Sus scrofa: one gene and its partner. The protein of the gene in region 2 interacts with the protein of the main gene of each other region in a pairwise test. Links are inferred from orthologs where the notes say so. Each region holds a gene or a part of one and is shown on either strand. Other genes may lie near its edges.

Region 1 (4,120 bases), on a different chromosome or scaffold from region 2:
AAGGACCAGGTACAAAACACTTTCTTTAAATCATGAGATATAAAAATGTCTTATAGTCTTTTTAAAGAATTTATTTCATTAGGAAGATAAGCACTAATTGTACTTCCTTCTTCACCTCCGCTGGTTTCCTCTCATTCATTTACCCTAGGAATTCCACAGCTTTGAAACCAGCTATTCAAGAAGGTAGTAGATCACTGCAGTTAAAAGTATGAGTTTTTTAGACATACTGCCTAAACATCCAATCACGTTCCTACCATTAACTGGTTTATGATGCCAGGACTAAAATAAGAACTAATAGCACTAATTCAATAAGGTCAATATGCAGATTAAATAAGATTATGTTACACTCTTAAAAGAGTGCCTAGATCATTACACATTTTTAATTAAATATCTGCCATTGCTCATCTCCTCCAGTACTCACCCATGGTACCCAGGACCACAGCTATCACCAACATTAACAAGCATAAAATTCCCAAAGTCACAGTAATGGGTCGCCAATAAGGGGATGCAGCACAAGGTCCTGAGGAGCCAAAGAGAGCAGAAATTGAGTAAAGTAACTGGATAATGGATCATGGAACATTTCAGTTCTCTAGTTCATCAAAATCTGATCCCCGAAATATCTACTCATCTGGAATAATCTGAATTTTTCTCCCCTTTTAGCAATACCTCTTCATGTTTCTGAAACTGTAACTTGAGTGCAGTGCCTTGGTATTTGTGCACTCTAAATTTCAGCTCCACATTGATGTTTATATGTCTTACACTATCAGGATTCCTGAAAGCATACTCCTTCTTGAGACAGCTTCATGGAGCAGAAATAGCACTGGTTTCTAAGAGTAATCTTCCCCTTTCTCTTATTTGTTGCATGCTCTTGGGAAAATTATGCCCTCTGGTTTTTGTTTTTGTTTTTTTTCAATTCTCTTTGTGAAAAGTGAGGGTACTAATACATCAAAATGTTATTATGAAAATTAAATAAGTTAACACACATAAAGGCACCTAGACTACTAGCACAGTCTAGATAACCCACCGTTTAACCACACATACATGTAAACACACACATACCTCCCTATCTTTTGCATAGTTTTTCCACTCTCCCCCAACAGGTTGCCCAAGGAAAGAATTGCACAAGCGATGAGAGGAAAATAATTGTGCAATATGAATGAGCAGAAAGCAGAAGGGAGCAAATTCTGACGTCAAAACCTGTGAATAAACTCTCCCTTGATAACAAGAAATTCATTTTCTATTAATACCCCTACACCAAGATTGAGAATAGGCATTAAGAGCATTTCAGAGAATTTTCAAATAGGAGAATTACAGGGGAGATTAAATGGCTCATTCAATGAAGAGAGAGGTCTCTGCCGGCCTACACCACAGCCACAGAAACGTAGGATCTGAGCTGCCTCTGTGACCTACACCACAGCTTAGGGCAACGCCGGATCCTTAACCCACTGAGCGAAGCCAGGGATCAAACCCGCATCCTCGTGGATCCTAGTCAGGTTTGTTAACGCTAAGCCACAAAGGGAACTCCTAAAGAGACCAATGCCCTTGTCCAGGTTTCACTTCTTTTACATTTGGTTTAAGACTCGTGTCCTGATAATGGGATATTTTTATCTAACACATATATTTCTTCACTGACATACAAAAACTCCCTTTACAAAAAATAAAAAAAAAGAATATCAAATCAACCTCATTATCACACATACAAAAAATTCAGATTTGGGCTTCTAAGCCCTAAGACTTCTGACTTCTTTGGCCTTTTCCACAAAATCACAAGTTGTTTTTTCCATCTTTTCATTCTTCTCCTGATCTCCAGTATCTTGATGTTGTTCATATCCACTGCTTTGCCTTTCTTTTTTATTTTTGTCTTTTTTAGGGCCACACCCGAGGCATATGGAGGTTTCCAGGTTGGGGGTCAAATGGGAGCTGTAGCCACTAGCCCACACCACAGCCATAGCCACGCCAGATCTGAGCATCATCCGTGACCTACACCACAGCTCACGACAACACCTGATCTTTAACCCAGTGAACAAGGCCAGGGATCGAACCTGCGTCCTCATGGGTGCTAGTCAGATCTGTTTCTGCTGAGCCACGACAGGAATCCCTGCTTTACCTTTCCTTAAATCCCATGCTACAATTTACTCATTTCTATCAAGTAGGTCACTCCTGTCAAAATTCTTTCATCTTTGCATTTCACCTCACTTAGTACAACTTCTTACTTTGGAAGTGCCCATCTCTAGAGAATAGAGAAATTGTAGGTATTTTTCATCATCATAATAATTAACTTAAATAAATTTGACACTTGAACATCACTGGGGTTAAGGGCATCTACCCTCCCACAGTCGAAAAAATTCCTCTATAACTTATGGTGGACCCTCAGTATTTGACGTTCTCCATATCTACATTCAGCTTCCACAGATTCAGTCAACTTCAGATGGTGTAGCACTGTAGTATTTATGATTAAAAAACCTCCATATATAAGTGGACCTGTGCAGTTCAAACCCCTGTTGCTCAAGGGTCAACTGTACTAATGATTGGTCACTGAATGGTTGCTGAGAGAAAAGGCTTCGTGCACATTCAAAGAATCTTCAGCGATTTCTGAAAATCAACATATAGTAATAAAAGCCCAACAAATCACGTCTCGCCTCTCTTTTCCACTTCCAATTTCAGTTGATGAGATTGACAATGTTGAAATCAGAAAGAAAAAAAAATACCTTTCTCGGAGACCACAGATCTCCTGGTGAGGTTGTGAGAGCTGAAGTCTAACTGAGTGTATCCATCTTCATCCACATTTTCTAAAGGAGACTGGTATTCCATGGTTCAAGTGAGTTTCTAAACTGACACAGCATTTGCGAGCTCATCCCTCTCTTCTCCTAAGACAAGTGCCTCTAGACAAAAGAGGATCTAGGAGTCAAATCATGTGGGATTGGTTTACTAAGCATTAACAAGTAGTCCGACCAGCTACCCAAAAGCAGGAAATGAAAACTAGGCTGTGGTAACTTCCCATTGGTACCTTCAGATCCTGTTTCTGAGACTGATGTCACATAAAAAATGAAAAGGTAGCACACGAGATAGATCTTTGTTTCAGGCCAAATGTAAGACAAATGACACCATTCATGTCTTGGGCTGCTTTCATCAGTCTCACAACTGAATTGGACATCATCAGTTGACTTGGCCTAGGTAAACTTAAAATAATTTTGATACCTTGAATTCACCAATACTTTGCTAGACCTATACATTCATTCATTTACTCATGTACTCACGCTTCTAGTAAACACTTAGCAAATATCCATCTTTTCATCTGGCCAGAGCTGGGATTAGAAGAACAAAATGATTACCTGTGAAGAATCTCACTGACTAACAGAAGAACCCAGAGACAGTAGCTATAGGAAGGATGCCATTAGAAGGTACACTGTAACACATCTCTTTGGGATTTGTCAGGGTTGATAATACAAAGTAGTACATTATTTATTCAACAATGACTATGAGCTAAGTACTACCCATCTACATGTTCTCTCATACAATCTCAGTTTTCCAACAAGTCTGTGAGCTAGACACTACTGGTCCTATTTCTTTTAGTCCTATGTATTATTTTTCATATAATTTTCCATTATTATTTATACAAGATTTATACGCACCCATGGGTATATAGAAGTTCCCATGCTGGGGTCAAATTGGAGCTACACCTGCCAGCCTCCCCCACGGCCACAGCAACACAAAATCTGAGCCACGTCTGTGACCTGCATCATAGCTCATGGCAAAGCTGGATCCCAGACCACTGAGCAAGGCCAGGGATCAAACCTGCATCCTCATGGATATTGGTCAGATTCATTTCTGCTGTGCCACCACAGGAATTCCCACAAAACATTGAATATAGTTCCCTGTGTCATAGTGTAGGACCTTGTTGTTTAGTCCTATTTTCAAATGACAAAAATGAGACATAGAAATTTTATCCACTTGCTCAATTTTAAGAAACTACTAAAAATATTGCAAGGAATGAAACCAAAGTCTACTCTTACTGCTAAACCCATGACCTCTTCTGTTATGCTACCATTCCATACGCTTACATGGCAAGTAACAGCTTATAGAGAATTCTGGGACTGAATATTATATTAAATACTTGATG
Region 2 (4,032 bases):
TTAAGTGCGAGGGAGAAAGTGGATTCACCTTTCCCACAAGCACATCTAGGCCGATCCAGAATCCAGAAAGCTCCCTGGGCCTGGACCTCCAGACATTCAGAGGCCTGGGTCCCTCTAGCCCCACTACCTCCCTGGTCCCGCACCCCCAGCCCCAACTCACCGGGAGATGGCAAAGAGACCAGTGAGCAGAGGGAGCAGTTTGAGGGTGTCCTGGGGCAGGTAGGTGGAAAGCACCGCCAGGTTGAAGAAGTAAAGGATGAAGAGCTGGACCGACTGGGCCACATATCGCCGGTGGATCTCCACCTCCCGCCGTGGCTCCCCAAAGGGCCGCAGGGCAGAAAAGCACAACAGGCTCAGCCCGTACACCAGGATCCCTGGGTGGGGTTAGAGAACACAGGGTCAGAAGAGGAGCAGCAGGCAGGAAGCTGGAGGCAGGGTCCATAGTGGAGAGCTCAGGGGCATGGGCTCTACACTGTGGGGCAGAGGTGGGCACACAGGGTAGCGGGGGGGCCCCCCCGAGGGTCCAGGTCTCACAAGGGGAAACTCTCCTGCTCTCCAAGCCAGGAAGGCCCTGCCCTCCAGTCCAGCTCCCAGATGCCCCCTCCCTTTTCACAGGACCCAGGCTCACCCAGAACAATGGGGAAGGTGGCAAAGACCCCGCAGCGCAGCGTGTAGACGAGGCGGGAACTCATGGTCGGCAGGCGCGGGGCGTCGAAGGGCAGGAAGGCATACGCCCCGTAGAGCAGGCAGGGGAAGAGGATGAAAGCAGCTCCTACGGAGGCCACAGCCCTGAGCCCCTCATGGCCTCCGCAGCCCTCGCAGCCCCCACAGGAGCGGCCAGGCGGCCTCACCACTGCCTCAGCCCACTTGCGCTCAGGGGGCTCAGCGGGGGCGGCCCGGGTGGGCAGGAAGGTCCGGCGGCGTTCGCCCTCGCTCGCCTCACAGCGCACAGCAAGGTCCTCCTGTGGCCGCCGCTCAATGCACTGCAAGTCGATGGGCACGAAGGCTCGGGCCGCCTTCTCAGGCAGCAGGCAAGCGTCATCTTCGGGCAACTCCTCCAGCTTGGTGGCTGGCTCTGACTCGAGGGGCTCAGGCTCAATGTCTCTCCAGCCTGGGGGATCTGGGAACGGGGCACTGGGCTGGGGGCCAGCCCCCCAGGGCAAGGTGGCAGCCTCACTTACTGTGCTATCTAGCCCATCCTCAGTCCCCTGTCCGGCTGTGGGAGACCCAGCTGAAGACCCCACTCTGGAGGACTCGGCTCTGGGAGACTCAGCTCCACCCTCCCCCTCTGTCTTCTCGCCATTGGGGACCAAGGCCTGGGGTGGGCTTTTCTCCAGGGCTGCAGGCCCCTTCACCTCCAGCAGGGCCATGGCCTCGGGTTCCGTCATCCTGGGGCCTCACTTCTGGGGTCTACCGTAAGGTCGTGTCACCCTGGAAGGAGCAGAGGGAAGCTCTGTCAGAAGCTGCTGCTCTTGGAGTTCCTGTAGTGGCTCAGTGGAAATGAATCCAACTAGTAACCATGAGGTTTCGAGTTCAATCCCCGACCTTGCTCAGTGGGTTAAGAATCTGGCGTTGCCACGAGCTGTGGTATAGGTTGCAGACGTGGCTTGGATCTGGCCTTGCTGTGGCTGTGCCATAGGCCAGCAGCTATAGCTCCGATTCCACCCCCAGCCTGGGAACCTCCACATGCCCCGTGTGCGGACCTAAAATAAAAAGGCCAAAAAAAAAAAAAAAAAAAAAAAAAAAGCTGCTGTTTTCTGGGTTGATAGAACCGAAGCTCAGCTGGTCTTACGGTGGGCTTTAGCCCCATCTGGGACCTTAGGGAGAACATGGTCCTTGTGTTGAAATAGAGTGAGGCAGGAGGGAAGTGAGCAGCTGAAATGGAGACACCCTTTCGACATCAAATGCTATTCACCAGGAGAGGGTGAGTCAGGGGGCACAGGCCCTGGCAGCTGTGGCCTCGCCTCCACCCACATCTCCTGCCCCTCTCCACCAAAACCCCTGGGGTCATGGCCACCCAAATGCAGGAATGAGAGGAAAAGGAGGTGTCTAGAAATTTGCCAAGGGCTTTCTTCTTGCTAAAGACCTTCTCGTGGACAGAGAAGCTTCCCTTTCACTTCCAAACCTTGCCTTCCCCTGAAGACCCCGGACTGGAACTCTCCTGGCAACTTATACCAACGATTTGCCAACAAATCTGTCCCAAGGAGCTGGCAGTAGCAGGGGACCCTGTTCTTTCGTCTCCAATCTGGATACTTGGTCGGTTTTCAAACTTCTCACCAACCCACTCCACATCTGAAGGGCCTGGGTCTGTCCATTTTGACCTCTAGGTCTAATCAAAGCTGTTTCCCATGCCTCCTCTCCTGTCTTTCTCCCCTCCCTGCCGTCCTCCATCTCACTGCTTCTGGATGAGGCTAACTTCCCTCCCTTCACTGCTCAAGGACCTCCGATCCCTTAATGTTTGGACCCGTGACACCCACTTACTTTCCATCTGGAGAGAGGTAGAGGGTCCCCAGCGTCCGGGAAGGAGCTGCCTAGCTCGCTGCTGGCTCTGCAAGTATTTCTCTCCGTCTCCCTCCCTTTACCTGGGTCTCCAAACCTGTCTGACCAGAGCAGGTGGGGCCCAGATTAAAGGGCAGGCCCCGCCCTGCTGAATCTGCCGACAGAAAAAGCCTTAGAGAAGGACGTCATGCTCTCTGAAAGTGGGGGTGCAGCTGAGCCTAGAGGTAAGTGTGTTCTAGGAACATGGGTTTTGTAGGAACTCCCAGCACAGGAAAGCAAAGGGGGAAGAATGGGTTTGTGCATCAGAAGGTGCTTGGGGAGTTCCTGTCATGGCTCAGTGGTTAATGAACCCTACTAGTATCCATGAGGATGCAGGTTCGATCCCTGGCCTTGCTCAGTGGGTTAAGGATCTGGCATTGCTGTGAGCAGTGGTGTAGGTCACAGACGCAGCTCGGATCCTGCTTTGCTGTGGCTGTGGTGTAGGATGACAGCTACAGCTCCAATTGGACCCTGGCCTGGGAACCTCCATATGCTGCGGTGTGGCCCTAAAAAGACAAAAGACCAAAAAAAAAAAAAGGATGTTGGAGTAGGTTGGAAAACACCCAAAAGAGAGGTGGAATTTCTACACTTATTCATTCAATATTTATTGAGCACCTGTTATTAGTTAGGCACTATTCTGGGCATAGACATAGGAAAGAACGAGATGACAGGCAAAGTCTCTGGACTTAAGGGGCTTGTTCTGTTGGGGTAGCAGATAATAAAGAAGCCTAGAAAATAAATCAATAAGACAATTTCAATAGGAAAATTTCTTTGCCAAAGTGATATTTGAGTTGAGACCTGCTGGGAATCAGGAGAATGGGTGTTTCAGGCAGAGGAACAACAAGTGAAAGGCCAATAAAAAGGAAAGACAGGTTGTTTCAGGAACATCTCCCTAAGCACCTTGCTTTTTAGGTTAGGTTTAAGGTTACAAAAACCGTGGCACAGTGGTTTAAGAACGTGACTGCAGTGGTTCTGGTCACATAGATCACAGCCATGGCTTGGATTGAATCTGTAGCCTGGAAACTTCCTTATGCTGAGAGTGTGGCCATTAAAAAAAAGACAGCAATAGGAATCCACAGTGATCTTTCCTATGGGAGGACCAGGGGGCAGAAATGTAAGGGTGTAACTTCTCATTCCTGTGGATCTTTTCCCCTTAAGTCATTAGAGCTTCGTAAGGGGAGGGACAATGTCTGAATTGCTCATCTCTGTGACTCCAAAATCCAGCACTGTGGCTGGAAGACAGCAGATGTTCAATAAATGTTTACTGGAACAGTAAGTGAGGAACATGCAAGTGGAAATCTTTGGGTTGGGGTCGGAAGCTGAAGGGCTGAGGTGTCTGTGTAAGAGTCTTATCTTGGAAGGCCTTGTCATACTCGGTTCTTTCCAAAAAAAATTTCACATACAAGTTTTTTGCTTGTTTAAATAATGGGGGAAAAGAGAGAATTAGAATCACTGTAACTAGTAACCTGAAAGAGGCTCGACTCAAATGGGGGC

Evidence for each region. The genes of interacting proteins can lie anywhere in the genome.
Region 1: the proteins of TMEM79 (region 2) and CLEC7A interact in binary tests that used the Homo sapiens proteins (3 or more experiments, as listed by UniProt). The two-hybrid records come from large-scale screens. The link is inferred for Sus scrofa from reciprocal best matches to the Homo sapiens genes TMEM79 and CLEC7A.

Annotation. Positions count from the first base shown.
Region 1 is NC_010447.5:61,831,718-61,835,837, reverse strand, and holds the start of CLEC7A (C-type lectin domain family 7 member A), read right to left. Parts: upstream 2,812-4,120; coding exon 2,709-2,811; intron 521-2,708; coding exon of another isoform or gene 422-520; intron 1-421.
Region 2 is NC_010446.5:93,766,032-93,770,063, forward strand, and holds the start of TMEM79 (transmembrane protein 79), read right to left. Parts: upstream 2,810-4,032; 5' UTR 2,482-2,809; intron 1,432-2,481; 5' UTR 1,389-1,431; coding exon 629-1,388; intron 375-628; coding exon 161-374; intron 1-160.